7 linked regions of the Cricetulus griseus genome follow. The protein of the gene in region 3 binds, or shares a complex with, the protein of the main gene of each other region. Links are inferred from orthologs where the notes say so. Each region holds a gene or a part of one and is shown on either strand. Other genes may lie near its edges. The genes, in order: Cwc15, Cwc22, Snip1, Snrpd3, Rbmx2, Ppil2 and Plrg1.

What was found.
Region 1: Snip1 (region 3) and Cwc15 share a complex: the UniProt entries of both Homo sapiens proteins name them as parts of the minor spliceosome. The link is inferred for Cricetulus griseus from reciprocal best matches to the Homo sapiens genes SNIP1 and CWC15.
Region 2: Snip1 (region 3) and Cwc22 share a complex: the UniProt entries of both Homo sapiens proteins name them as parts of the minor spliceosome. The link is inferred for Cricetulus griseus from reciprocal best matches to the Homo sapiens genes SNIP1 and CWC22.
Region 4: Snip1 (region 3) and Snrpd3 share a complex: the UniProt entries of both Homo sapiens proteins name them as parts of the minor spliceosome. The link is inferred for Cricetulus griseus from reciprocal best matches to the Homo sapiens genes SNIP1 and SNRPD3.
Region 5: Snip1 (region 3) and Rbmx2 share a complex: the UniProt entries of both Homo sapiens proteins name them as parts of the minor spliceosome. The link is inferred for Cricetulus griseus from reciprocal best matches to the Homo sapiens genes SNIP1 and RBMX2.
Region 6: Snip1 (region 3) and Ppil2 share a complex: the UniProt entries of both Homo sapiens proteins name them as parts of the minor spliceosome. The link is inferred for Cricetulus griseus from reciprocal best matches to the Homo sapiens genes SNIP1 and PPIL2.
Region 7: Snip1 (region 3) and Plrg1 share a complex: the UniProt entries of both Homo sapiens proteins name them as parts of the minor spliceosome. The link is inferred for Cricetulus griseus from reciprocal best matches to the Homo sapiens genes SNIP1 and PLRG1.

What each region holds. Positions count from the first base shown.
Region 1 is NC_048597.1:127,982,715-127,986,779, reverse strand, and holds the end of Cwc15 (spliceosome-associated protein CWC15 homolog), read right to left. Parts: intron 3,338-4,065; coding exon 3,219-3,337; intron 640-3,218; coding exon 510-639; 3' UTR 457-509; downstream 1-456. UniProt on the Homo sapiens protein: Involved in pre-mRNA splicing as component of the spliceosome. Component of the PRP19-CDC5L complex that forms an integral part of the spliceosome and is required for activating pre-mRNA splicing.
Region 2 is NC_048599.1:97,135,208-97,139,799, reverse strand, and holds the start of Cwc22 (pre-mRNA-splicing factor CWC22 homolog), read right to left. Parts: upstream 2,955-4,592; 5' UTR 2,772-2,954; intron 1-2,771. UniProt on the Homo sapiens protein: Required for pre-mRNA splicing as component of the spliceosome. As a component of the minor spliceosome, involved in the splicing of U12-type introns in pre-mRNAs. Promotes exon-junction complex (EJC) assembly.
Region 3 is NC_048595.1:27,982,891-27,986,955, forward strand, and holds part of Snip1 (smad nuclear-interacting protein 1), read right to left. Parts: intron 2,575-4,065; coding exon 1,991-2,574; intron 1,162-1,990; coding exon 897-1,161; 3' UTR 1-896. UniProt on the Homo sapiens protein: Required for pre-mRNA splicing as component of the spliceosome. As a component of the minor spliceosome, involved in the splicing of U12-type introns in pre-mRNAs. Down-regulates NF-kappa-B signaling by competing with RELA for CREBBP/EP300 binding.
Region 4 is NW_023276806.1:263,063,096-263,067,803, reverse strand, and holds the start of Snrpd3 (small nuclear ribonucleoprotein Sm D3), read left to right. Parts: upstream 1-1,625; 5' UTR 1,626-1,779; intron 1,780-3,016; 5' UTR 3,017-3,032; coding exon 3,033-3,158; intron 3,159-4,708. Other genes in the region: protein GUCD1, read right to left, coding at 749-791. UniProt on the Homo sapiens protein: Plays a role in pre-mRNA splicing as a core component of the spliceosomal U1, U2, U4 and U5 small nuclear ribonucleoproteins (snRNPs), the building blocks of the spliceosome.
Region 5 is NC_048604.1:20,788,464-20,792,350, forward strand, and holds part of Rbmx2 (RNA-binding motif protein, X-linked 2), read right to left. Parts: coding exon 3,865-3,887; intron 1,492-3,864; coding exon 1,362-1,491; intron 1-1,361. UniProt on the Homo sapiens protein: Involved in pre-mRNA splicing as component of the activated spliceosome. As a component of the minor spliceosome, involved in the splicing of U12-type introns in pre-mRNAs.
Region 6 is NC_048597.1:72,234,356-72,238,420, reverse strand, and holds part of Ppil2 (RING-type E3 ubiquitin-protein ligase PPIL2), read right to left. Parts: intron 3,037-4,065; coding exon 2,945-3,036; intron 2,163-2,944; coding exon 2,073-2,162; intron 1,879-2,072; coding exon 1,803-1,878; intron 541-1,802; coding exon 380-540; intron 1-379. UniProt on the Homo sapiens protein: Has a ubiquitin-protein ligase activity acting as an E3 ubiquitin protein ligase or as an ubiquitin-ubiquitin ligase promoting elongation of ubiquitin chains on substrates.
Region 7 is NW_023276806.1:71,280,202-71,284,266, forward strand, and holds part of Plrg1 (pleiotropic regulator 1), read right to left. Parts: intron 3,153-4,065; coding exon 3,010-3,152; intron 2,453-3,009; coding exon 2,399-2,452; intron 1,987-2,398; coding exon 1,896-1,986; intron 1,267-1,895; coding exon 1,179-1,266; intron 1-1,178. UniProt on the Homo sapiens protein: Involved in pre-mRNA splicing as component of the spliceosome. Component of the PRP19-CDC5L complex that forms an integral part of the spliceosome and is required for activating pre-mRNA splicing.

The sequences.
Region 1 (4,065 bases), on a different chromosome or scaffold from region 3:
GGCCAAAAGAAAAGAACATTGTTTGCAGGACTGATATGGCAGGCATCTCCTGACCCACCCCAGAGGACTTATGGTGACATGTTCTCTGATGTGGAATCCCCCTTATCCTTTACCACACTTACAAAACACAGTGCTGTCATCTACTAATGGACCTCAAATCAGTGTGGGATAAAGGGAAAATTTAATGCATTAAAAACAACACATAAAGTACTTTTCATTTAAAAAAATAATCATGTAATTTTTTATAAGCTGCATAGATTATGGCAAAAAGTTGGGGACACTGGTTTACTTAGGTTAAAAATATTTATTCCAAGCAGATTCCCTTTCTCCATATTAAAAAGGAAGTAAGACTGGAAACTGGTCAGACTCACCTCTAAATCCATTATAGATAAAATACCACACTACGGGAAAGAGATTGAGAAAGTTCAAACAGGGAAAGAACAAACCCCCCAAAAGTCAAATTGATCCTTAACATTTTATTAGACTTTAATTAAGCACATAAAACTGTACTACTTAATATATTTCTCCATGAACTTTTTGTGAAATTCAGATCGAAGTGTATCATTTACAAATCTTTTGTCTTTCTTCTGATCATCTATACCCTTTGCACAGTTCTTAAAAACGACATCATCGTCCCACCTAAAGGGGAAGAAAAGAAAATAAATACCTTATAATTCTATCAGGAAACAAGAACACCACACAGGCTGTAAAGCTTCATCAACACAGACACAATCTGCCTCCTGACAAGAAAAGAACTGGTGTGCCTATGGTGGAAGTTGTCACAGCAGGAGGCACCCATACTCAGAGCACATACCACTCCCCTAGTGGAAGCAGCTCTGAGCTACAAAGCAGAAGCAGACACACATACTGCGCTCAGGTAAAGGTGTGATATTTTCAGGTCTAAAACCAAGAGGCAGGGCCATGGTCCTGATCCAACACCACTAGACAGTAAGTGATCCATTTCCTGATGCTTTGTAAAGTTTTGTACATACTTCTAATCAATTATATCCATCATGCTGGTCATACATCATAAAGCAACAAAAGACAGAACTACAGGAATGTAACAATGAAGATTCACAGATTGGCCCCAGTCTCCATTAATACTGAAGAAGTATCTGCTAAGGAGCTCAGAGTAGAACTCAGCTGGATTTCAGAGAGCATGAAACACACTCATGGAAAGGTGCCATGGAAAGTAAAGTGCATAACGTCAGAGCAGCACCTCCCATATAAAAACATAAACCCTTCCTCATGACAAACACAGACACAAACATACATAAAACACAGCTTACATTGTGCTTGTGTGTGTTGGTGTATATTTACCAGGAGAAATTGCACAAGGAAAATGAGCAAAGACTATGTGTACCTATGGGTACTGTGTCAGTAAATTTGCCTTGATGTTGCACACATGAGAAGCTCAGCAGCATGGTAAACTGGGATATTTACTCCTGCATCCACAAAGGGAAGAATAAACCAGACTGCTTCATATTCATTTATCGTGTTTTGTCTCTTAACTCATCCCAATGAGCTTTTGGTCCCTTGCTCCCTTCTCTTCGAACACACATCAGCATACAGTATTCCCAGACTGTCACTCATTCCTCTCACAACACTAATGGGAATGTCTTGGCTGCCCTCTTCTCTAGGTGCTTAGTCTTAGCCTAGGATTTTAAATCCAAATACTAGTTTTTAAGCACTTACTATGAACTTATACTACTCCAGTACTATGAACTTATACTGCACCCTACTCCAGGCACTGACACAACCCTCTGCCCATGCTGGTGACTCCCAGACGAATTATTACCAGCTTGAACCAACTGCAGAAACACACAGACTAGATACACTTAGAGATGTGTAGAGCACTCCAATCCTAGCATGCCTGGAACCTGTTTCCTCTTTCATGCTCAGTATAAGCCATACTCCTTCCCATGCCTGCCTTGCAACTGCTCAGGTAAAATGCTTGGAGTCTGGTCTCTAAACTGCTGGTGTCAGCAAACCTTCCCTTGACTGTACTGTTGTCTTCAAGAATGTGTGTTAAGTTTTTAGCTTTATGTCACCACAAGGACTGTTCTTTTACTGTGATCGAGTAAAGAAACGAACGAATTTAGAAAAAAGCAGCTATTATCGTGACTTTTAAAAGAAAGAACCATGGTGCTGGGATGAGAGAAGAGCTTGGAAGAAGATGGAGTTTTCTTTGTGTGTGAGCAGGAGCATGACCTTTGGGGTGAATGGGCAGGAGAGCAGCTGGGGCAGTGCTTCATTCCTGATGAGACAGCAGCGGTGGAGGTGAGCAGAAAGGAAAGGCAACGGGACTCCTCACCCCTGACACAGTACAGCCCCCCCCCCCCATCACACACACACAGTGGCTCCTGTGAGTGCTCACTCTACTTTCCTCTGCATCCTCATCTGTTGTCACATTATGCAGACTCTTTCCAGCTCTCTAGTGCCCTCCTCCTTCACATGCAGTACAGTGTTCACTCCCAGCCTGCCTCTTAGCTCGGCTAGCACTGGAGACCCGAGTCACCTCTCACCATCACTTGCCTATAGTACATAACTAACTTGACTTCCACGCAACAGAAGTTCCTGCAGGACGAGTCCCAATAACCTTGATCATCAAGTGTCAACTTCTAGTTTCACTGTTTAGTGACCTCTTACAGGAATAGGAGTGTAAGGAAGTCTATGTCTTTCCACCTTGTGACCTGAATGTATATCTATGAATACTCACAACTGTATGATCTGTGTGTATCTTACAATATCAAACATCAATATGGTCATGGCAAGTCCCCTGAATCCTTCTAGAACTGAACTGTGAGGGGTGGTCTTGAGGACCCTTCCACTCACATCCCACGTACAGGTTTTGTAGCTACCGTCATGTAGCTAGTGATCAGGTTTAGACCATGACTTGGCAGACACTTGGTTATTATGAGTATGCATTAAAATGAAGTCATCCTGCCTCTCTTCTTCTCCCATTATTCTAAAATCTGACTGAGGTTATATATAGGAGGTGGGGTCTTAGAAGCCTTATGTAACACATAATACAAATAATGTACCACACATATAGATCAACCCATTATTTTTTATCCCCTTGGTTAAGACAGGGTTTGTGTAGCCCTGGCTGTTCAGCCTAGTCTCAAACTCACAGAGATCCGCCTGCCTCTGCCTCCCAAGTGCTGGGATTAAAGGTGTGTGCCACCACCATCTGGTCAACCCATTACTTTTAGTACCTTCTTTTAACCTTGAAGTTGGCCTGAGGCTGGGATGGGCCAGTGAGATTGAGGAGGGGGTTTCCACTCAGAATATTTTCCATTCGAATTCTCTCTTCCTCTGCTTTTTGTTCTTGTTCCTGTCAATGGCAGAGGAAGACACAAAGTTACTAACTTCAAGTCAGTTGTCTTATATTGGTTCACAAATGAACATCTGTCAGATGGTAGTTTTCTTTCTCCTTTCCTTTCTCCTTTTTGAGACAGGTTCTCTTATAGCCCAGCTGGCATGGAACTTGCTAGGTAGCAGAGGATGACCTTGAACTTCTTACCCACTTCCTGAGTGCATGGTTGTGTACCACAGATGTACACAACAAGGCCCAGTTTTTCAGTGGTAGGGACCTAGGGCTTCGCACATGGCAGGAAAGCACTTTACCAACTTACTCATTCCTCTTTTTGATTCTTGACAAATACCAGAAAAATCTTTGTAAAAAGTAAATACATTGCTATTTTTATTACAAATATCTCATTCTTTCCAAAATAGTCAACAGTCTCTCAATTGTGAGAAGCTGAGATACAGATGTAAACGTTTTATTTAGTTACTTACAGGTTAAGTTTAGGAGCATTTTAATAAACATTTAAAATTTAAAAACATATTGTCAGACTTGTAGGTGAATGGTCAGACAGCCTCTGGATCAAATCTACACTTTCCCCCCAGGCTTGAGATTATATTTTTTGAGAACATGGCCACCCTATTAATATAGGCACTGTGGCCACTTCTGAGCTGTAATAGTAACAGAGCCACTACTTGTGTGTCTGGGTGATCAGCCACACAAGAATATTTACTGTCTGGTCCTTACAGGAAGTGTGC
Region 2 (4,592 bases), on a different chromosome or scaffold from region 3:
AGTAGCCTGGCAGCTCACTCTTGAGCAAGGGTATCATTATAGTTTCTCTTGATCTACTGACTAAACTCAGTTTTTCACCCATTTTCATAACAAAGGCCAAAGACCTTAAATTTAAAAAAGAACATGATCATCCTCACCATACTCAGTAAATACATGCCTTGTAATAAAACACTTTAGTGCTTCTAATCGTGTACTAGATGTTTTCTTCAATTGCTCAAGCTTGTATTTGTGCAGAAGAGTCTCTTTGATGCTATAACAACTGAAAAATATATGATACAGGACTCCCAAAATTATGAAGCTACAGCATAGTTATAGTCTTCCTGGTAAAAACAGTGGCTGTGGAGAGGGAGGCAATACTTACATTATACAACACAGAAGACATCAAAGGTCAATGTTCTTATCCTTAAGGTAGAGAAGAAATATCTAAATGTAGCTACACCACAAACAGATTTGCTGGAAAAGAAAAAGCCTGGGGTGTACAGAAAGCAGGAGATACTAAGGCCTACTCCTGAAGGACAAGTAGGAATTACCCACGTAACAAGAGAAAGTCATTCTGGATAGGTAAACACATGCATACAGGCTGAGAGACAAAAAAAAAAAAAAAAAAAAACCCAAGGTGGGTGACTAAGTCATTTGAATAAATGGAACATATAGAAACTGAACATAAATGAGATGGACCATAAGAGACCGATGAAGCTAAACCATGAAAGGCTTTTTATGGATATAGCAGAGCTTTGAAATTCTCCATCATAGACAGTACCAGACTCTTAACAGGTTCCAATTCTAAAATTAAGTTTGAGAAAGGGAGGGTGGTTTTTCATTATCTTAGATCCACAAAGGACTAAAGTTAGTCTGACAACATATAGAGAACACTCCTCTGTCTCTTATTCTTGGAACCACCAAGCTGTCTGTCATAATCTGCATCAAGGCAGCACTATTAGGTGCTGTGCCCTTTTAGGCACAGAGGAAACTGGACCCTGATGGTACAAACATAGGAGTGTATCACAGGCCTTCATCTAACCTTCATACTTTGTATCCTCCCCTTCCCCAAATCAAATCTGGTCCTCAGCTTTACTATTTAAATGTAGAGCTGAATATATTCTGCTAACTCTCATAGAATGAACTGGAATGACCTTTCTGATCATTATAAGTTTTGTTTGTTTTTTTTCCAGAGCACAGTCTGGCTTAAAGGAAATCTCTCCACAGAGAAATTTACAACATAGCCTCCAGACACACAGCACTACTACCCGCCACAGAAGCTCTGGTCTAGAAGGAAAGTACTCAATAAACTGGTTCAGAGAACCCAAAGGATTACTGAGCTTTGTGCAGCTTAAGCCATTAAAGAGTTAGGTTCAAGCACAGATTAAACATCAGTTCATTCTGGGTCTCTCATAGCAGCTCATTCTTTAATCACCGAAGCTTTTTCCTAAAGAAGGAAGCCCCATACTTGTTTTTCTGCTTTCTGCTCACTAGGATTTACTGATGTTACAAAAGGCAAAGGTGTGTTTCAATCCACTCCTCTGCCCATGTGCTAACTTTTAAGAAAATCCTTCCAAAGTTTGTGCTGTGGTCAGCATCCAAATGTCTTTTCCCACATTTACCTGGGAGATGTAAGAAAATGTGTAACAAGCCTGAGGAGCTGCTGAAATCCATACTAGAGTCCTTTGTGTTCCCCTACCCTCTCATGTTAGTAAGCTCAGACTTAAACAGAAAACAAAGGAAATTTGATAGTATAGCTGTATAAACTAATAACCACTTCTTTTTGAAACTAGTCTATGCCCTGACTGAGTCTGACTAGGCCAGTCATGAACAACTTAGGATGTTAGGGATAGAAAAAAATGCAGTCTATTAAATACAGTGCACAATTCACCGAAAAAATGTAGCTCATTTTTACATGTAAGGGTGTTTTGCCTTCATGTACATTATGTGCACAACTCAAGTGGCTGGTGCCAGCACAGCTCAGCAAGAGGCTATCCGGTCCTCTGAAAACTGGCATTACAAATGGTTGTAATTCACCATGTCGGTGCCTGGAACTGAACCCAGGTACTCTGCAAGAGCAGCAAGCACTCTTAACCTCTGAGCCATCTCTCCAGAGGCTTACCATGCTTAAAATAATTCATGCTTCCCCAAATCATTCTCTGCTTCCCTCAAATAAACGTTGGCGGGTATAATGGATAAAATTGTCTCGCAATTACAGCAGGTGAAAATAACTAGTACTGCATACCTATGTTTGGGACTTAAGAATAGTACAGATATTTTAGCGTTAGGATTAACGACGAGAGATAAAACGCACACCAAGCGAAACATGGAGCACTAGGGATAAGGCACACGACAGAGGTTCAGTCAAGTCGATGAGAAAGAACCACAAATGAAAATGTTAACAGGGTTGGCCAGTGGGCTATTAAGTTGAATGAGGCAAGAGCGTTACTACAGTTTATTAATGCCAGCCCCGGGTCCTGAGGAGCAGGGACTTCAGCAAGCGGGACTGCGAGGATACGGCCCTGGGAGCTCCCAGGAAAGGCGTCCACCCGCGAGAACCTAGACCAGAGCCCATTCGCTCAGTCCCCTCCACCAGCGCCAGGCCCGGCCCGCTCACGCCGCACCGCGCGGGGCGCGGGCCGCCGGTGGAGACGGCGCAGCCACGCGCGGAAAGCGAGGCCCACCCGGCCAGCACCCACTCGCATGCTCCTGTCCTCTACACGCGATCCAGCACCCCGCCGCCCCCACTCTGGCTGCTTGTCTATCCCGAGTCTCCAGAGTTCGGTAATTACCTAAGGCTCCACCGTGCCGCCATCGCACCGGAAGTGCGTCACTTCCTCTTCCCGGGTGAAGGCAGAGCGAGAAATTCGTGGAAATCTGGTAGTAAATTGACTCTAGTATGTTACTCTAGTAATGATAATACCGTGAGCAACACCAGAGTCAAAGCAATCCAGCCATCCACCCTGTCCCTCCTTGCCAAGACTGTGCGAAAATAGAAGTCCGTGTGAACTACAATGTCCAGGATCCTCTGGTAGCGCGGACGGAAATGAGAAGTAGTACCCTGCCAGAGATAACCGCGGAGCTTCATGGGAATTGCAGTTCGTAGTGGGTAGGCGGTCACAACAGAGAAACTTGATTGTGGGTTAGGTTTCCAGGCATGCAACTTATTTTAACAATTTCTATTACCATAAAAAGTAGCTCTTAGCAGTCACTTTCTGTTGGCTTTGTTTTTTGTTTGTTTGTTTGTGTTTTTGCAGTGTTGAAGCTTAACCTTAAGATACGTACTAGGTAAGTACTCTACCATAGAACAGAGCCTTACCATGAAGATCTTAAAAATGAGTAGAGTTCCCTAACCTGGTGGAGTGGCACACACCTTTAATCCCATCACTCTTAGGAAGCAGTGGCAGGTGGATCTCTGTGAGTTTCGAGGCCAGGCTGGTCTACAATGTGAGTCCCAGTGTTATGGTAGAAGTTTTACCCCAGCCCCTGACATCCATATATCCAAAGAATCTGGAATGTTATGGTGGAAGTTCCACCCATATCCCTTCCCCTATCTCCCTCCAATCCCTGCTTCATCTCAGAAAGCCTGCCAAATGATGACCCTCCCAGAGATGCTCAAGACCACTCCACAGGGTATTTAAACTGCTCCCCGGGTAATAGACATGTGGTTTTCAAGTCTTTCTTTCTGTCTCCTCTCTTGGGAGCTGGAAGTCCATCAGGGAGTATCCATTAAACATGGACTTTTCTCTAATTCGGTTTGATTTTGTCTGACATGGATTGCTGCATCGGTGGAGAGGCTTATCCGGGTATAGAAACCTTTCATCCAGGATAGCCAGAGCTGTTAACACAGAGAAACCCTTTCTCAAACAAGGTAGAAATCTCTTTCAGGCTTTTGACAAAAAGCTTTACCAAACGTCTGTTTAGCAGGGGGGAAAAGGTGACAAAATGTTTAGTTCCAAGATTTTAAAATCAAGTGAATGGAACCCAACATGTTGGTGCTCACTCCCAGCCCTTGGGAGGCCAAGGCTGGCATATGGCATATCTGTGTGAGTTCCAGGACAGCCAGAGCTACATAGTGAGCCCCTGTCCAAAAAAAAAAAAAAAAAAAAAAAAAAAAAAAAAAAAAAAAAAAAAAAAGAGCAAAATAAAAAGCAAAAAGCAAATTGTAGATAGATTGTTAGATTGTGACTCTTTGGTCTTAGGGAGGTACCACCTGGCATGCTTAGGATAAGGAGAACACTACTTTGTAACGCTGGAAAGTAAAATCTGTAAGAATTCACTGAACTGGCATCAATTATACTGTTTCCTTAATCTTTGATTTTCAGTGCTACCAAAATCTAACCTTTAAAGTACTGCTAATGTGATTGGAAATCTCTTCCTCAGACAATAGCATATATCTCCAAACATTTTATAAATCAGGCTTGGCTTCTTTAAGAATTGTGACTTTATTTTAAAAGAGAGACAGAGTCTCACTATATAGCCCTGGCTGGTGTGGAATTCACTATGTAGTCCAGGCTGGCCTGGAACTTAGAAAGAGTCTCCTGACTCTGCCTTCCAAGTGCTGGCATCAAAGGCCTGTACCACTACACCTAGCTTCTCTATTACAGTTTTCA
Region 3 (4,065 bases):
TACAAACCCATGGTCAAAGCTGAAACAGAAATGTGGAAGCTACACAACCTCCTTTAGCCACATACACACGACCTTAGGGCCACAGCAGGGCCCCCCACTACAAAGTCCACGTCAGTGTGTTTCTCAAAGGGAGAAGAGAGAGGTAATGTCTGAATAAAAATGTGAAGCTGAAGAAAAAGACCAGGTGATCCAAACTGTTGGGTCTGTGCTTCGTGGGGAAATCAGGAATCCTCAGAGGATGCAGCTCCACACCCAGGACATGGCACGTCACCAGCGCCCGTGGGTAGGAGCCATGACCTCCCGACACAGTTACATCTGCACAGGCATCGCAGAGTGTCTGTCTGTCTAGCTTAGACAGTCAATAATGAGGTTATGTGGTAAATTGTCACCCCCAAAAAAACGAAGTGCAAAATGAACTTCTATGACTCAAGAGCTGACCCAGGCCAAAGCTTTGGTATAAGCTGGAGGCTGTTTTGGTGACAACCAAAGCTTACTGAGATTCTCTGCTCTAGGGTTTGTCACCAAAACAAAACTCCTGGTCCACAAAGCTCAACGACTATATAAATAAGAAACTGTACAAAGAGAACAAGCCACAATCCCCTTTCCAAGGGCTTAAGTTTCCTGTGCAGCAGTTCTGAAGGCACCCACTACAGCCACACACTTTGACCAAAACTCAACATGCTGTAATTGGTGAGATTGTTCTGAAAACAAGCGCCCACAGGCAGGCGGCTGCTGTGCCAAGTTCAACAAAACACGAAGTGAGAGTTCTCATACTGCAACACAAGCTGGGCAGCAACAGAGAAAAGACTTAAGGCAAGAAGAGGCGCTGGAGTCAACCCCATGGCCTCCAGGAGGAACGGATTCTCATGGGGGAGGGGGTGGGTGCTTCTCAGTTGCTAGCTGTCAGACACCATTTCCTCCTCCTCGTCATCTTCGTCTTCCTTTCTATCTAGTTCAGATGTGTCTGAAGACTCATGGAGCAAGACATATTCTCTGCTACTGAACCCAAATTTAAGGACGTCTTTTTCCTTCAGTTCATAGTACCTCTGTGGTTCAATACGCTTGTTGTTTAGGAAGGTCCCGTTGCCTGAGCCCAGATCAATGATGTAGGGTTTCACCCTCCGACCAACTGTGCCGTCAGCACGAGTGTACTCCACAAGCCTAGAAGAGACCAGTGAGAGAAGCATGTGAGCAAGTCCTACCAGGGACCATCTACTCTGCAGCTCTCTGCTACAGATCTAGATGTCACTGACCTGACTCGAACATGGTTCAAACAAAACCTCTGGAAGGTCACAGGGGAAGCACTGCCCTGGACAGGGAAATTGGGAGCAGTTTAAATATATCTAAGAGAAAAAGTAGAGCTGGCTGTGGGTGGTGGGTGGGGATGGAGGGCCATGAGATATCCCAATGTAGAACTCAAGGCTTCTTGCTATGGCTACAAATATACTTCCTCCAATGCTGTACAGCTATTTTAGCACCAGCCCAAATGGGGAAAAACATTAGAATGAGATGAGACTTTCGTGTCAAGGGCGGGATATGAGACAGAGCTCTGCTCTGAAGATCATTACTGCTACCAGCAACTGTGCTGAGCTGCAGTTTTCCCAGATGTCAAATGAGGATGTTAACACTGGTCCTGTTTTCCCACGGGACTGTGGAGGATCAGATAGTAACGGTAATATGATCTAAGCAGCAGATTCAGCCAGCATATACCTGGCATTCTGACTCTGGCTTATACTTGCTTGGCCTTCTGACACCTGAGATTATAGGCCTGCACCACCGCAATGATAGCGGCTAATCTGGGTTTCTGATATCAAGTTCAAGATTCTCACACAAATGTTAAGAGATTACTCAAGGACTGCTAGACTCTTTCAGCCCAGCTTATTAGATACAAGGTGTAATGGCCTCTTCTGCATCTCCACAAACAGCATAGGGGTCCTCAATGAGACACTCACCCCAGCTCCCTTTCCAGTCCTCCTCCTGGTCTACCTACCGATACTGGAAGACTGCGTGCTGCTTTGAGCAGGAGGGATGGTCGATGGGAATGTCGGCGATGCGGCGATGTCGGCCCAGAAGGTAAGCACTCTGCCGATGGATGTACATGACGGGAAGTACCTCATCATTTTTAAAGGGGTACAGACGCCACCGTTTTTTTGGGATCCGGGCTTCTGGGGGCTCACTGTACTTAATAACCACACCCCGGAAGGTATTGGTGTCCTCAAGAAGTGCCCCAGAAAGTTCAAAGCTTGGTTTTTCTTTAACAGGCACCTCTCTGCTTCTGTTACCAGCAGGGCGAGGGATCACCTCCTGAGCTTCACCGCCAGCACCTTCATTCTGCTGACGATGCTCCCGGCGCCTGGCATTATGAAAGTCCCTTTCTTCTTCCTGGGCCTGCAGAATTTGGCTGTCTCGGTCCCGACCCTGACCACTGACAGGCCTCTCATCAGAGCTCCTCTTTTGGCGGGAATGGCCCCGGTGCCGGTCTCGCTCACTGTTACGAGCTCTCCTCTGCTCCTGTTCTGATGGCTCTCGGTGCTGCCGATCTTCTCGTCCTCTCCGAGGATGGTCCTCACGTTCCTGAAATTAAGATGCATTCAGTAAAGGAAAGACGGCTTCTACTCTGTGAATAAGCTGTCAGGGCTGGGGAGATGGCTCAGCAGTTAAGAGCACTGACTGCTGTTCCAGGACCCAGGTTCAGTTCCTAGCACCCACATAACTGTTCACAATCTGTGACTATCATTCCAAGGGGATCCAATGCTCTCTTGTGGTAAGCATGGGCACTGCATCTATATGGTGTAGATATCCATGCAGGCAAAACACCCACACACATAAAATAATTAAATCCCCCAAAATGAACAACACATCTATAACCTGAGTGCTGATGATATTCAGAGCAAATTCCTATCTACACAAGACTATCTGTTCTATTCCCCTGGAGTGTCATCTGTGGTAGTTCTGTTCCCCTGGAGGGCCATTATGACTATACTCCATGCTGCTCCTCAAATACAGGCCTGATAGCCCAAGCCCACATCCAGAGCCCTCAAAACAAGAGGCTGATACAGAGGGAAGGAGAAATAATATTCCCATCAGTCACCTGCTAGCAAACTCACAGGGCAGCATGTGTAGAAAACAGAACAGAGTAGCCAGGTGGTGGTGGTGGTTCACTCCATTAATCCCAGCACCTGGGAGGCAAAGGCAGGTGGATCTCTGAGTTTGAGGCCAGCCTAGTCTACAGAGTGAGTTCCAAGACAGCCAGCCAAGGCTACACAAAACCTGTCCTCCCTCCAGAGAGAAAAAGAGAGGAAGGGAGGGAGGGGGAGAGAAGGAGGGGGAGGGGGGACAGAACCATTACATTTATGTAAAGGAAAAAGTCAACTTCCTCATAAGCCAAAAAGAAACTGAAATAATTTCAAAAGCTCCAGCTTCAACAATTACATACTAAAAATCAGCCTGGCATGGGGCTGGAGAGATGGCTCAAAGGTTAAGAGCACTGACTGCTCTACCAGAGGTCCTGAATTCGATTCCCAGCAACCACATAGTGGCTCACAACCATCTGTAAAAAGATCTGGTGCCCTCTTCTGGCCTGCAGGCATACATCCAGACAGGACACTGTATGCATAATAAATGAATAAATCTTTAAAAAAAAAAAATCAGCCTGGCAGAAACTACAATACACATAACACACCAGTAGATCAATGAGAGACTGATGGTGGTGGCACATGCTTTTGACCCCAGTATTCAGGGGGTAGGGACAGGCAGGCCTCTGTGAGTTTGAGGCCAGTCTGATCTACAGAGTTCCAGCATGCTATTACACAGGAAGGCTATCACACAAAGAAATGCTGTCTCAAAAAAACAAGGACAAAAACAGACCAATGAGAAATCAATCAGTAATCAGCCAGTCCACAGGCAAAGCCTCAACAGCAGTCTCCAGAAGAAGCTAACAGTTAGTGACCACCTGTCTCGCTAGGAACCAGAGGACCAATGTTAAAATAGAAATTTTCTCAGATTTGCTAAATTAAAAAGGTCAGGAATAGCTACTATCAAAGGAGAAGGGACTGGGGCTGCACT
Region 4 (4,708 bases), on a different chromosome or scaffold from region 3:
GTTCACAGTTAGATAACTGGAGGAGTAAAAATGTAAATCCCAGGGTAGGTCCAAGCCCTGCTCCAGCCTACCACCAGAAGGAACCATTCCCCGAAAGTGGTGTTACTCTCCAATTGACACTTAAGGAAGGGCTCAGGCCCCAAACCCCTTGACCCTTCCCATGAGATAGCAGCACGCCACAACAGCTTATTAATATATCAACTCTTGTGCCCCAAGCAGAGCTCCACCATGACTTCCAACTTTCCCCACTTCTTGAGCAAGCAAAGGGGTTCGGGTTTCCTCGGGGCGGAGGGAACCAGAGAGAGAAGAGTACTAAGACAAAAGCGCTGCGTTTGGGAAGCCAGATTAAAAAAAAAAAAAAAAAAAAAAAAAAAAGGCCCTTCCCTTTGCTGAGGGATCTCAGGCCGTTCTTTCCCCCTTCACAGCCCCAGGCCTTCCACAGTTCCCCCTAGGAACAGCATCACGCAACGGGGTTCAAGCAGGACCATTCGTTTCTGGGGAAGGCAGTGCCTTTGCCCCCTCGGACTTTTGCACTTGACTGCTCTCAGAACTCCCCGAGAAACAACCAGAAGCGGAGGACGGGAGACGAGAAGGAATATCCATCCACCTAGCTAAGGTCCACTGGAAGCTCCAGTCTGGGCTGAGGCCGCCTGCGGCCCAAGGTCGCGCGGCCAGACCCTGCCCAGCTCCAGGGCGGAGTCCCCCTCGGTTTCCCCGGTGAGGGCAAGGCCCTCTGAGAGGCACTGACCGGGCTCGAGCGGCTGCCCCGCTGCCTCTGCCTCCGTCCTCATGACCCGGGTGGCGCAGGGCGCCCATGGCCCCGGCCTGGAGCTGATCGCAGCTGCGACTTGTGCTGGGCAGCGAGCGCGGCCAGTGTGGGGAGAGTTCCGCCGCCGCCTCTCCTCCTCCTCCTCCTCCTCCTCCCGCCGCCGCCGCCACCGCCGCCCGCCGCCGCCGCCGCCTCCGCGGTTCAGAGCCGGGTGGGCGGGGGCTAGGCCGCCTCAAGCCCCGCCTCGTCCCTGCCAGGTCCCCGGCCTGGAGACCCGCCCCTCCCCTAGGCCACGCCTCCTCGCCCACCCACTTCTCTCCCATAAAGAGCGACCCGCAGGGCCCGCCTTCTGCGGAAGCCCCGCCCCTCCCGGGCCCCGCCCCCAGGCCCTTCCATAGCGACGTTGGCTCCTCCCAAACCCCCTCCGCTCGGCTTGCTCCTTTGCAGCCCCGGGTGTTAGCGCCGGCCCCTCGCAGTGCCTGCCTCATCGAAACGCCCCGGGAATCCTCCTCTGCCTCCCTTTCGGTCTTAGCCACACGATGAAAAATGCCAGTTTCCCACGCTCGGTGCGCCGCTTACCTGATGGCGACCAGATCCAAAGCTTAGATTCCTAGTCCAAGCCTCACTTCCTGTGGCACCACAGCAATTTTGGGGCTCCAGCCTAGCTCCCGCCCAATCCGTCCCTGGAGTACTTTGTAAGTGGGGGGGGGGTCTCCATGTTCCTTTTGGGGCTCGAGGACGGATGCTTCCGGCGGCCCCCCGGGTCCTCTCCAGGGCCGGAACGATAATGCCAGAGCCGTCGTTTTCCGAGCCGGCGGAGTTAAGGAGGAAGCATACGTCAGAGCGCTCTCGCCGCTGGGGAAAGGAAGAGGAGGGGCCCTGCGCGCGGTATCCTGGGAACGCGTGGTATTCTGGGTACCCCGGGCCCGCCATTCCCTCGCTTCACGCCTTCGCCGTGTAACGTTTGTGCCAGGGCCGAAAGGGAGCCGGTGAGGAGAGGCGGAGAACCGGTAAGAGGAGGCCTAGGCGTCCCCGGAGGGTTAGGGGCAGGAAGGGAGCCTGCGGAGGAGCTCAGCGGGGCACTAATGGCGGGCGGGAAGCCTGGGCCGATCCAAACACCGTCTCACCCGCGCTTGGAGCAGCTCCTCGTTTACGCCTGTCTGCGCGTTCTGTGCCTTTCCGGCTCGCCGATTTTCGGAGCTCGCCCGCAGTCGTTTCTCACGAAATACCCCCTTTCCCTGTGTGCCCTCCTTTTCAGCGTCCTCTGCATCCCTGCTCCCCTCGGATTCCGGCGCTGGCCCTCCCCTGCCTTCCACGACTGCTGCACGAGTCTTAGCGAGTCGCTGTGCTGCAGAAGGGCCATGTTCGAGCTATCCTGCAGATGCTGCTATTATTCCTTTTTGTTTTCTACTGAGCCTTTGGCAATGACCCTTTTGTGTCCCCCCCCCTCCACCGTTTTCAGCATAAAACTCACACTCCTTAAGTTGAAAGCCGTGGTTCCTCACCAAGAGAGACAGCGCCCAGCATCCTTATAGCCTTCTCATGGACATAGGTGGGAACGCTCATCACAGTTGCGCTTAGCCTCCGTCTTTTACTGAGGCTTAAATCGAGCGTCGACCCTGATGGTGCTCCTGTGAGCATTTCCTGTCACTTTGTGAACGCCTTGCTATCTTATCAGGGTCTATGTCTGCTGAGCACTTGGAATATTACTAGTGTGACTGGGAGGGGAGGGGCTTTTTAATTTATATTTCAGTTGAATAGCTACAGGTAAGCAGTGATTGCTTTTGAGGTCCATATCATAGTTCTTGGGTGACTATAAAGGGTCATGTGTTTGGGAATAGATAAGAGGCACTCTTCATTCCCACCAGCCTCTTCTGTCCAGCTTGCTTGCCATCCTTCCCAGCTCGAAGGCAGTGTGTCCTTGCCATGGTGGTTCCTTCAAACCAAGAGTCAGACTCCTTCCACAGAAAATGCAGCTTAGGCCGGGCGGTGGTGGTGGCTCACACCTTTAATCCCAGCACTCGTGAGGCAGAGGCAGGCGGATCTCTGTGAGTTTGAGGCCATCCTGGTCTACAAGAGCTAGTTCCAGGACAGCCTCCAAAGCCATAGAGAAACGCTGTCTCAGAATAAAAAAAAAAAAAGAAAGAAAGAAAGAAAGAAAATGCAGCTCTGACATATTTGCAAAGGGTATGGTATGCCAGTCCTTCTTAAGCTCTGAAAGACAGCTGTTGTCTCTCTCTTCCACAGGAACACTCCTGCCAAGATGTCTATCGGTGTGCCGATTAAAGTCTTGCACGAGGCTGAGGGCCACATCGTAACTTGTGAGACCAACACTGGCGAGGTGTATCGAGGGAAGCTCATTGAAGCAGAGGACAACATGAACTGCCAGGTACCTTGCTTTGCACCTGTGAAGGAACTGTGGGTGAAAGGTAATATCTCTGACTGCTCCAGGTCTAATACACATACCTTGGAGTTGTCATAGAGAGTTCAGATGGCTGTGTGTTCACAGTGGCCAGCTCAGTGCTTTGCGTGCAATAACTGGTGCCTGTTAACTGTATTCCACATGAGAAAAGTAAAGGTTGGAGAGGGAAAGTACATTATTTAGAATCACACCTGTGGGTCAGGTGGCCTGACTATTGCCTTTTAGGGTTTGCATTAGTTATTTCCTGTGGCTGTGATAACACACCATTAGAAGGGGTTTTTTTAGGCTTGCAATTACAAAGGAATGAGTCCATCGTGGAGGGGAGAAATGGTAATAGCAGGACGCTGAGTGCTTACATCTTCAATAGAAAGCTTGAAGTAATGAGAGCTACCTGGAAGTGTTGGAGGGTATTAATCTGAAAGCCTGCCTCCAGTGACATTCTTCCTTCAGCAAGGCTGCATCCCCTCATCCCACCCCCCCCAAAACAACCCACCAACACATGGGGGCCAAGTGTGCAAATGCCTGCAACTGTGGAGGATACTTTTCATTTAAACTACTGTAATTGTGCTGCTTAGTTTTTTTGTCAACTTGGTGCAAGTGAGAGTCACCTTAGAAAGGGGAACCTCAGTTGTGAAAATGCCTATCCTATAGGCAATTCTGTGGGGCATTTACTTGATTAGTGATTGATGGGTAAGTGCCCAGCTTATTAAGGGCTAAGCCACTTCTAGGCAGTTGTTTCTGGAATAAGAAAGGAAGCTGAAGGCTGAGCATGGTGGTGCACACGTTTAATCCCAAGACTAGGAGGCAGGGGCAGGTGGATTTCTGAGTTCCAGGAGAGCCAGAACTGTTTCACAGAGAAGCCCTGTCTCGATAAACAAAACAAAAAAGATGTATTTGTCTGTTTTAGGGCATTTAGTTTTGGGAGTAGAATGAAAGAATTTGGATAGTGACTATTAATATATTTAGTATGCTGCTCTAATTAATGAAACTTACCGAGGTGGGCTTCAAACAGCCCAACTATAACAGGAATTTGTCTGACTAGATTATGGTATTCTCAGAAGTGCAGCCCATGTGATGCAAAGACACAAATCTTAGTACATTATCAGGTTAAATCTTGGAAAGCAGTGTGTCTTGTGTGTGAGCTTTGTGCTGCCCTTGCCCCCTGTTCCCTCCAGAATCGGTGATAACAGATGAATGCTCACTTTGATTTACTTTAGAGTGTGTAAACTGAGGTACTGGGAATTAGGACTTCATTGTGTCCTAATTTTTGCAGGGACATAATTTAGCCCATAATACTGCCCACATCAAGATGATGAGTCTTCATTAGGTTGACCCAGAGCCTAAGCACATTGCATAAAGATCAGTAGGCTGTGTAGAGCAAACCCCAGCAGCAGGTGAGCACTGACCACTTCACTAGTGTATCTCTGGGATTGTGATGGCTCCTGCAGGTGCCCCTGTCTCCTTCCTGGTCCCCAGTCCTTTAGAAATGAAGGCATCCTCCAAACACCTCTGCATAG
Region 5 (3,887 bases), on a different chromosome or scaffold from region 3:
CAATTGATTATCTATAGGGATAGAGAACTGGTACAATTGGTAAAGCACCAGCCTTGTAAGAATAAGGACCTTAGGTTAATCCCAAGAACCCACATAATCTGGGTGACAGCACACACTTGTAATTCCAGCACTGGGAAGCAGAGATAGAAGACAGCTGGAGCTCACAGACCAAGCAACCTAGCCTACTCACAAGTTCCAGACAAGTGAGAGATTTTGTCTGAAAAAAAAAAGAAATAAAGGAAAAAATAGACAGATCTTGAGGAATGATGCCAAAGCTGTCCTCTGGCCTCCAACTATACATGAACACATATGAATATGTGTACATACATGCAAAGTTATACACAATGTTTAACAAGAAAACATGTCCTAGAAAAGCATGAGGGCCAGAAACATGAAATCTAAAGCTGCTGTTTCAACAAAGGCAAAATAAGACCAAGGAAACAAAATGCTTTTGCTATGGTGGTATTGAATCAAGGGTCTCATAGAGAAGCATCTCTCACTGAGGATATTCCAAGTTTTACTTCCTTTTTTCTTGAGCTCTCATACCTTTCTCTACTCCTGTCAAACAGGACCTTTCTGTTCCAACTGAGTATTGGACTATAAGCTAGAGTTTCAAAGGTGAACAACAAAATGAAGCCTGTGTTTTATAAACAGTCTATTTTCAAATAGATACACTTCTCTCCAGGTAATAACATCTGAACCCTGAATTTCAATTTTACTGTTCCATTTCTAGAGTACATTTTTATGTGTACCTTTAAGCCTGAGAAGCTTTTGTCTATTTATCATTTTGATAAAAAAAATTTAAAAAGCAATTTTCCTTTGATGGTGACTTCTTCTGAAGACTACTCCTTTAAAATTTCAGAATGGCTTATTTTTATAGAATTAGTCACCAGATTTTAACTAAAGAATGTCCAGGAGCCAATATGTGAAGTCACTGGAATCATATGCTAGATATACATGGCTCTGTCTTAGCTCACAAAGCCATGATGAAGCCCCTGGTTCCCTAGCACAGCACAATATCCAAGAGCAGTGTTTCTAGTTTCTAATCCACTAGAACAGATGGAAAATGTGTATAAGAAAAACATCCCCCAGATAAGGGGGCACAGTACCCATGTTTCTGGAATGACAATTTGCTAACACATACGGAAAAGGAATAAGTCCTGGCAGATGCATAAGCCAGAAAATCGTTTCCTGGAATCATTGCCTATCCAGTGTGTCTAGGCACCTCTACAACCCCCACAATACATCCAGCTGACCAGTACTATTCCTACACCTGTAAACAGGAGACAAAAAAAAAAAAGAATGCCGCCTAACCCATACACAGGAAAAATCCAGTCAAATCCTGCATAGTAAGCAGTTACCTTAATTCCATTGAAATTGTCAACAGCCAGAACTGTGCTCCTCTGATCTTCGTAGCACAGGAAACAGAATCCCTTGGACTTGCCCGTCTTCTTGTCTCTCACAAGATTAATGTTGACAATCTCCCCATATCTGTTTAGTTTATAAAATGTATTATTCATTTAAAATGCAAACATTTTCATACTGAATGATCAATTCAAATAATCAGTATAGGAGAAATAGAACAAGATGATACAGCAGGTTGAAAACAGCCTAGTTTATATTTCGATTTTCAGGTCAGCCAGGGCTACAAAAAAGAAACAGAAACTTATTGGAGATTTTTAAGTTTAAAACAAAGCTTAAAGGAATAAGACCAGATGAATTAATATCAAATAACATAAAAGAAACAGAAATAAAAATAATTGCCAATAATCCACTAATGTCAGACTAGGAAACATATAGGTATTTTTGAAGTATATAACAAGATAAATTATTTTCAAGAATTCATAAAACAAATTAGATTCACTATTGGTAAGATCTCAAAATAAATATCAATAAGCACTAAAGTTTCTGGGGAAAAAAGACAGCTCAGAAGTTAAGAGCACCTCTGCTCTTGCAGAAAAAACAAATTTAGTTTCCAGCATTCAAGCCAGGTGTCTCACAACCTTTGTGTCTCTGGGGAAATCTGATGCCTCTGGATTGATTCTACAAGCATGAGTATGTACATGCACATACACACACACACACACACTCACACACAGACACAGAACTAAAAACAAATCTTTTTGAGGATCAATTAAAAATAAACTCTAAAAATCTACAGTATATACTCACCAATCAGTGTGATAAAACTAGAAATAATATTTTAAACAAATATTTAAATAATATTTTAAACAAAGCTTGCTACTGAAGCTAGAGAGATGACTCAATGTTTAAGGGCACTGTTTTGCTCTTCTAAAGGACCCAGGTTCACTTCCTAGCACCTACTTGGAGGCTCACAACCATCAGTAACTCCAATTCCAAAGCATCTGGCGTCCTCTTCTGTGCCTGGGCACTCATGTGGTACTGACAAACATACAAGCAAAATACCCATACAATAACATTTTTTTAAATATTTTTATAAAAACCTGCAGCTAACCAGAACTTGAAACCTATTCTCTTAGCTAATAGATGGATGAAAGAAAAATGAAACAAAATTTAAAAGGTCAATGGTATATCACTTAGCAACTAACAACAAATTTTAAAATGCCATGAAAATTTATAGGATGCAGCTAAGCCTCACTACTCAGGAAAATCTGTAACCTTGAAGAATTTGATTCTTTTAAAAGCATAAATATGAAATAAAACAAACCTAATAAACACAGACTTTAATAAAGATCAAATTGAATTTGAATTGAATACAAAAATTGAATACAAAAATAGTCTGCCTTACTTCTTTTAAAACCAATTCCAAATAAAGCTTTATAAGAGTCAGAAAATAAAACTATAATTGATACATAAGTTATATGAGTACATATAAATTATATGGTTACACATATACACACCAACCCCAAATCTAGTATCAAAATGCAAAAAGGTTAATGTGCTTCAAATAAGGTTGAGAACAATTTGACAATATATTGGAGGCATAGATAATGCAGTTAGATAAAACTAATATAAGAAATGAAAAAGTAAAAGTATCTGCAGATTATATACAAGAGTGTATATAGAAAATTGAACAGCATCAATGATAGACAATGACAAAAATAAACAGCATAACAATTCAGTAAAGTAACAAGACAGAAAGGTACAGGACAGCCAGGGCTGGACAGAAAAACCCTATATCAAAAAGGGAAAAAAAGGATTTGGGTAAATAGGCATTTCAGTGAGAGTGGATATTAGTAAAACCATTTCAGGGAACAATCCAGCAATGCTGATAAAAACCAGGCTAAATCTGTGTCTGTTTGGCCCAAGTTTTCAGTGCTCTGACCTAATCCTACAATGCCACACAGATAGGGCCCAGAGGGCCCTGTCATCATGGATGACCTCTAATTTATAGGAACCCAAATAGAGAGGTCAACACTGCACTTTCCTGGGAATTCCAGTTTGTTCTAATGCAAGTCCATGCTGAACAAGGTTCAGGAAAAACTTGACAGAAATGAACTAGGCTCCTTCAGAAAGCCTCTCAAATGATCTAAGCTCTGGGATCTCCCACATGCTAATGTTCTGAAACCTTATCTAGCCTGGGACTGATCAAAGCTCTAGCCTTCACCACACAGGGATGTCATTCAGACTGGAATTAAACTGGCTTTGGTGGCTTTTTGAGACAGGGTCTCACTCTGTAGTGCAGACTGACCTGGAATTCGTTATGTAGCCTAGGCTGGCCTCAAACTCATGGTGATTCTCCTACCTCACAGTCTCTTCTACTGGCATTAGAGGTATACAACTCCATAGCCAGCTTAAAATACTGTTTTTGCCTTACAAAAATAAACTACAGAAGCAAACATCTCTATGCACCCAGAAGGTAGGAAATGAAAGAGGACTTACTGTGAGAACACACAGATGATGTC
Region 6 (4,065 bases), on a different chromosome or scaffold from region 3:
GGCCTAAGCAAGGTCAGAGACCTCAAGACCCTGGCAGTCCCAGCCCCCCCTTCCATCTGTCCTGAAATGGAGAAGCCGCCTCTGAACATCAGACTCACGGTAGTTTGGCATTGAAGCCTGGGTCAGAGCCCACAGCACAAAGCAGACCTACTTCTGCTGATCCACTGCTGCCACAGGACCCCAGCTTGTCAAACATTCCTCCACCCCAAAAGTGTACTACGCCCTTCTGATTTGTTTGGAGCCAGGTCACCTCAACAGCCCTGGAGGGCCCCACAGGACTGGGAGGGTCCCAACCACCACACCTCCAGGTCCATCTCTGTTAGCACCTTCCCCAGCATTTTACCACTGGTCAGAGGCAGAGACAGAGCAACCCACTCACAGCATTCAGTTGGTCCACCTTCCTCTTCTCAGGTGCCTTCATGGTGGCTGCTAAAATCTCATCTCCTTTGAACTCTTTGTAGAGCTCCTGTAGTGTCTCTCGGGTCTCAGCATTTGTATTTTTCAAGTAATAAGATGGGTCCTGTTTGGCCTTTTCCTCATCTACAAAACAGGGTATGGACACTGAGTAGCCAAGACAGCAGGCAGCCAAGGCCCCAGAGGCTCAAGATGAACACAACAGGAATAGAGCTGGAACTGGCCACATGGCAGAAGCTGTGGGTGGCTTGACTAAGACAGGCTTCTCTGGCCATAGCACAGCCAGAGCTTACTGCCCTGGGGCATCTGGCAGTAGCATTAGTGGGTGCAGTAAGGTGGGACACACACAGAACACAACATCATGGGGCCTGGCTAGAGGGGTTTCCCTCATACAGTCAATGGGAGTATCAGGATGGTTCAAACGCAAGTGTCGCTGTCCTCTGTATCTACCTGTATTCTACAGCCTTTTCAAAATGTTTTGCTTGTGTGATTTTAAACGCGCTTCTCGCTTTTGTGTGTGGGGGGGGGGGGGGGGGTCTCAAGACAAGGTTTCTCTGTGCAGCCCTGGCTGTCCTGGAACTCACTCTGTAGACCAGGCTGGCCTTAACTCAAAGACTCACCTGTCCCTGTCTTTCAAGTGCTGAGATTAAAGGCGTGCCCTGCCACTGCCCAGCTAAAAGTGCTTACTTCAAAGGAAGGAAGAGTTTGGAGTATTTCATATAAGAAATGCTTCATCTATGCCATACGCTGCTTGCCAGGCCACTTACTGGGCAGTGAGCATCCCTAGGCCTGGCCTCTTAGTCTCCTGAGTTCAGTTATTCCTGAGTTGTTCTACCTCCCTAAATCCTGACTGGTCCACAGTGTACATTATAAAGGTCAGAATACTGCTTCCTGCTAAGGTGGGCCAATAAAGCTCTGGCCATGAGGGAACTGGAATTGATATGTAAAATAAGATTGTTTCCAATTTAAATAAAATTTATTTAAAAAAAAAAAAAGCTCTGGCCATGAGTCTAGCTGGCTCCTTGGAATGAAGAGCAAGTCCAGAAGCTTCAGCCGCTCCATTGTATGTTACAGTGTGATCAACGGCATGGGCCAAACACAGCACCCTACAAAGTCTGATGTCACCCAGTCACCCACAGTCTCACTTGTCCTGGAAAGGGCAGCAGCCAACAGGAATCCAAAAAAACCACAGGGCCCCCAGAGCAGAGGAAGGGAAAGAGAGGTGTCCTGGTGTTTCCAAGACTACAGCCAGCAGCTTCTCTGACCACCTGGAGCCTGACAGACATGGTGGTGTATGCATGCCTGTAACCCCAGCACTTAGAAGGAAGAGCTCACCCGAGAAGGAAGCACACCTCCACTTTACTTGCAGCAGCCTCAGTTGTCCATACCTGGATCTATGACTTTCATGTTGTTCTTCACATGGAAGAAATTGGAAACATTGAATTTGTCCAGATTGGTGGGGTCCTGTGACAAGAAGAGAACACTCAGGAAGAAAACCAGGCCTGTAGCAAGCACCTGCTGCCGACGGCAAGGCTTGACAGGTGCCTGCAGGGAGCAGTGGCCACGGGTGCTGTGGTACAGAAGATCACCAAGCCTCATGAGGAGAGCTGAAGGCAGAGCTGGGGGTCAAAGTGAGGCACTCACTGTGAAGCACTTACCTGCAGGGTGATGATGTCTTGCCTGGAAAAGGGCTCATCAGTCAATAGGTCCCTCAAGTTCTTGGCCTTGATGTTTAGCTGCTCCACTGCCTACAGCAGGACAGAGGTGTCATGAGCCCTCTGTCATGGCACAGAAGAGGGAACCCAGCATACAAAGAGCCAATCTGGGGTGCACATCTCAAATGCTCCCACTTTCCTGGCAGAGACTAGCTAAACCAACCTGGCTGCTCCAGACAAGAGGTCTAACATGGGCTCTTCTGCATCACAGACTGCTTCTTGCCCTGGTCTGATCAGTGAAGGAAGATAGATCCTGTACCTCCCATCAATCTGACACCTCCTCCTTCCTAAGAGCCTGGCCTCCCCTTTCTCCCTATACTCCCAGGGTCCTTTCCAGAGTCTGGTCTATGCTGAAGACAGGGAAGACTCCCTGGGATGCAAGGAATCCTTGCTTAGGCAGCCCCAACTGCCTTCGTAGGTTTCAGGTCCAAAGCCACCAGAGTCACCTAGGTTCTTTTTTTTAACTCCCGGAGACAGTTTCTCTGTATAACAGGACTGGCTGTCCTAGAACTCCCTCTGTAGATCAGACTGGCCTCAAACTCACAGAGAGCAGTCTGACTCTGCCTCTGCCTCCTGAGTGCACCACCACTGTCCAGCTGAGGTCACCTGATCTTTATTTTAAGGCCTCAAAAAGTAGGCTGGATGGCTACCTGCCAGAAACGATGCCTTGTGCTGAAGGCTATAAACCCCAAGGGGACAGGCATGCTCGATGTTCCTCGTTCACCTCCAGCACTCAGCCAGGTTTCTGCACTATCCCCAAAGTACATGTGAGGGCCCCACATTGGACAGTCCCACTTACTGCAATAGGGGACTACCTCATAGGTGTAGACATTGCCTGTTGTCCTGATGGCCACAATATGTGTGTTGTCAGTGAACACAGAGTACAGCACTGGACAGTGGTACTGCCCTAGAAAGAAAGCACACACAGGGTTAGTGGCCCTTAAGAGCTGTGATAAGGGATCATGATAGTACATATTTATAACCCAGCTACTCCAGATGCTGAGGCAGAAGAACAGACTACAAGACCAGCTGGACAATTTAAGAAGTCTCAGGGTCTTAGCTGCAGATAGGGCTCTGTGCTTAAGAGCACTGACTGCTCTTCCAGAGGACCTAGCTTCAACATGGCAGCTCACAAGTGGCTGTAACTCTAAGAGCTGACACCCTCACACAGACACACATGCAGCAAAATACCAATGCAGATAAAATGAAAATAAATTACTAAAAGAAAGACTACTTTTGTCTCAAAGTGAAAGTTAAAAGAGGCTCAGTGGCAGTGCATTTCCTAGTGTGTACTGATACTGCATCCAAAGGACCACATGGGACGGGACACAACTGGCGGTGGTGGCCCACACATTCAGTCCCAGCCCTGGGAGGCAGAGGCAGGCAGGTCTACAAGAGAAAGTTCCAGGACAGCCAGGGCTATACAGGGAAACTCTGTCAGGGTCGGGGACAGGGAGAAGAACCAGTAGGGGTTAGAGGAGGGAAGGAGGCAGAACCTTAGGCCAGCTACCAAGACCTGGGAACCACAGGGATACCAGCCATTCAAGCTCCATTCCCACACTGTTAACAAACTCCTGTTCATTGTCCCTTACTCAGAACAGTGTTAGCCTCCCCACTGGCTCAGGTGACCCACCTTCTCTTAAAGCCATGGCAGACAGGAATTGGCTTATCTTTCTAGAGACCCTGTTTCCACTGCTTTCTACCACCACTCCCTTTATCTCCTGGGCTTCCTCATCTAGCTCTCTGTGACAGCTGCCAGCTAGCCAGCCTGCCCATCTTCCTGCTCCAATAGAGGATCTCCCATCCAGCAGGGGCCTCGTCTAGTGAGTCCCAATGGACAAATAGGGGCAGGGGAGGACAAATAGACATGTCACTAAAAATGTGTTTCAAAATCAAAAAGAAATCACACACTTACAAACACATCAAAAAACAACAA
Region 7 (4,065 bases), on a different chromosome or scaffold from region 3:
AAAAAAAAACCTAAAATCTGAAACACTTGCAGTCCAAGCACTTCGAATAAAGAATGCACAACCTAAGAAGCTACCATCAGCATCACCCCATTAATCCAAAACTATATTGAAAGCTATGAAATTCTACCCTTAGGAGGTATAAACTGGGCTAAGGGATGTATTAATTGGGACACTGCTTGCCTATTATGCATGAAGATCTGGGTATATCTCCAGCCTGCAATTCAGGAACTCAGGAGGCAGAGTAGCAGAATCAGGAGAGGTCAAAGTTAGCTCAGCTACACAGGGTTCTAGGGTAGCCTGGGCTACATGAGACCCTATCCTGAACAAACTCACATGATATCATTCTAAGGAAACAGAAAGCCTGAACAGAGATCTGCTCTGAAATGTGGTCTTTGCCAAATGAACTCCATCACAGTGCAAATAAAGCCTGTACTCCTCTCAAGGGACTGCACAGAACATCACAAAACCAATAGCACCCAACTGCAATCATACCAACCTGCATTACCAGTACAGTCCACAATAACATAAAGTCATACAAGGGTCAGAACATGCCTTGTATTGTGTGTGTGTTGGATGCTACTACTAGGGTAACACTTTCCCAGTAACTACAGTAAGGAAACATAAGTTAAAAAAAATAAATGATAACTGATTCACTCACTGGCAGCAGTAAAAGCAATACAGGAACCTAGGGACAAACCCTGTTGAAGTTGAAAAATACCTTAGTACTATAAAAATTGTTTTCTTAAAATTTAATTATTTTGTGTGTGCATGCACATACACATGGCACACAGTCACACACAGGTCCTTGTGCTTGCACACAGCCACAGCAAGTGCTCTTAACTCACTGAACCATCTCCTCAGCCCTATTCCTTGTATTTTTGAGACTGATTAGTAAATACCAAGATCACAATATTGTCTTTAAAAACTATATATAATGTTAAGAAACAAGATTTTGGATTCAAAAAAAAAACAAAAAACAAAAACTAGTAATTTATCAAAGCTATGTTTTTAGTGCTATAAAATAAATGTTAAGGACTATCTCAGTTTGCTATTTCTATTAACAGATCCCAGGACACTATTGATTTCAGCATCTGAGTAAGACTTTAAAGTTAAAGGAAAGGAAGGAATCATATTCCAAAAGCTAGAAATCTACAGTTCTTTTGACCCAAGAGACTTACGGAATTCATCGCTGTGGGCTGGGAGCGGTCAGAAGCCCCTGGGTGTCGGTACTCACTTCCAGCAGGAGCAGTACGATTTGCATCAACTCTGCAGAACAGAAAGATCATGAAATAATTACTCAGCACCTCTCTAATTAGGTATTCTGCACAAACTTTTCTTTGATGAATTCTGGAAGCCAGCTGGGAGACACCTCAGTTGGTAAAGTGCTTGCTATTGCAAGCATGAGGACCTTTGTTTAAAAAAAAAAAAAAAAAAAAAAAAAAAAAACAGCATGGTGACATGTGCTTGTGATTCCAGCACTGGGAACAAGACAGGCACACCCCCAGGGCTTGCTGATTGCCAGCCTAGCCTACTTGCTGAGTTCCAAGACAGTAAGAAAGACCTTAAACAAATAAAGGTAGGAGCAGTGAAATGGTACAGTGTGGGTAAAGGCATTTGCTTCACTTGCCTAAGTTCAACCCCTGAGCCTACAGTAGAAACAATTCCCAAAGCTGTCCTTTCATTCCACATGAGCATTATGGTATGTGCGTGCTTGCGCTCTCTCTCTCTCTCTCTCTCTCTCTCTCTCTCTCTCTCTCTCTCTCTCTCTCTCTCTCTCTCTCTCCTTTTTAATGGTAGGTCAGTAGTATCTGGCTTCCACAGGCACACACATTAACAACCAAAAACTGCAAATGGTGAAATGGTGAAGATCTGTGTCACTAAAGCATAAGTAATACCTGGCCTGATTTGGCAAAGACACAGCTAAGGACTGTGCAGCTGATTCACTTGGCATTCTTTGGATCTTAGTATCAGCAGTCAGGGCAACACCTATTTAAATAAAAACAGTTAGTTTCAGTATTATCGACCTTAATTACTTGCACTTAAAACAAACCTGGAGGAAAACAAAGTCATTTCTAAGCAATGACAGTATAATAATCTTGATTAAGTTCAGCTTGTCTTTGCTTTTAACTACTTCATAATAAATACTGGTTGAATACAAGCAGGTTGGCATTAAGAGCAACTCAAGATTATTTAATAAAGTCAAATTTCTATTTATTGAGACAGTATGTTTATAAGCAAATAGCAGTTATATAAACCTGTCTACACATGTACACATACATGTGTACTTGCTTGCTTCAGCCATACCTACTCCATATGCTTAAATTTAGGTACCTGCATATTTGTCTAAACCAACAATAACACATTTGTTTAGACCTAGTACAGCCTTATTGTCACCTACCAGGTCCTGGTGGATATGGATGTGTACCTGTCACCAAATATTCAACATCTTGTCCTAAAAATAAATAAATAATAAAGTCATTGCCAGTGAATTTATCTTTATTCAAGTATCTTTAAAAATGAATTATTAATATTAACTACAGTTTTCCTTCCCAACTAAATTGAAGCCTCAGAAATCAAGCAAGTTGGTCATTTTGCCTGTAAGATGTTACCAAATCAAGAAAGAGCATGCATTTTTAGCTAGCCATGCTGGGAATACAGGTTTTCCCATTCACTGACAACTACCTGGGTGGTTCTTCAAAGCAAATAGTTTCACATGGACACAAGAATTCTTTGTTCCTTATAATCTCATCTTTCTGACAGATGGTCTCCCCACAGGCTAATAATAAACTTCAATTTTCCCTGTAGACTCCACTGTAACTTTGTCTACCTCTTAAGAACTGTACTACATTTTGTTTTCTAGTGAAGTCATCAAGTACAAATCTTAGTCACTACTCCAGATGATGAGCAATTAAAACTTCCACAGTAACAGCAACATAATCAGTCTTCCCAGTGAGGCATTAAGAAAACATTTTTTTCTATTTTAAAAATCCACATGTAACCCTGATTCACCTTGATTGGCAGGATACTGTTTATGAGGATATGAATCTGCAGCGTTCTGAGGTCCCTTCTCCTTAAGGTTCTCTTTTGAAGTAGGCATATGCAATACAGGACCATACTCATTACGAAGCTTGATTGCCATTTTCCGCTTGTGACTATTTAAAAATTAGAAACAAGAAATGCATCTTTAAATACTGAAAACACACTCACCAATGAAAATATTCAATAGCCAGAAAACAAGCACATAAACCAATACTTTACTTGCTCTCACAGATACAAAATGTTTTTCAAGTTAAACAGTATTTTAAAAAGTACCAAATTTCAAAATGCGTTTCCATACATATATATTTACTTTTTCTCACAATCTATCATATAGCATTCATTAAACACAAGTAGGACCTTAGTTTGCCCAATAAACATGTAAGCTTTCTTGATGAGACCTCAAGGGTCCAAATGAATTAAAGGCATACACTAATATATTTTTTAAAATATATGAAAATGTCTGGCAGACACCTTTACTAGTTATTGAAAATGTCAGACCCAATGAAAGCACTAAATTAGTTCAGCCTTTTAAAGAGAAATGTACTTATATTATTTTTAAAAAATACACCTTATAGATTAAATATAAATAAAATGAGGGGGATCAAGTAGATTACAAAAGAAAAAGCAAAGGACAAAGAAGGGTACTACAAACAACACAATCCCAGAGTAAGGCTGGTGACAACCAAAATATGCTCAAAAGTCTTCATTCTACTAAGGAGTAAAGATGGGAGTAGGTACTGGGCAAGTACAATTTCAGCTCATCAAGGCTCCAGAGCAAGAAGCTGAAAACTCAAAGTGATTCATTAAAAATAAAATAACCTAACAGGAATGCTCTGAATTACTGGGTAACATAGTTACTTTTCTACTTCGGTGGCAAAACACCATAACCAAGGTAATTTACATACCAAGTATTTAATCTGGGGATCATAATTCAAGAGGGTTAGTCTTTGAGCATCATACTGGGGTGCATAAGACGACAGGTAGGCATGTTGCTGGAGCACAGCTAAGAGCTTCTATCTGATTCAC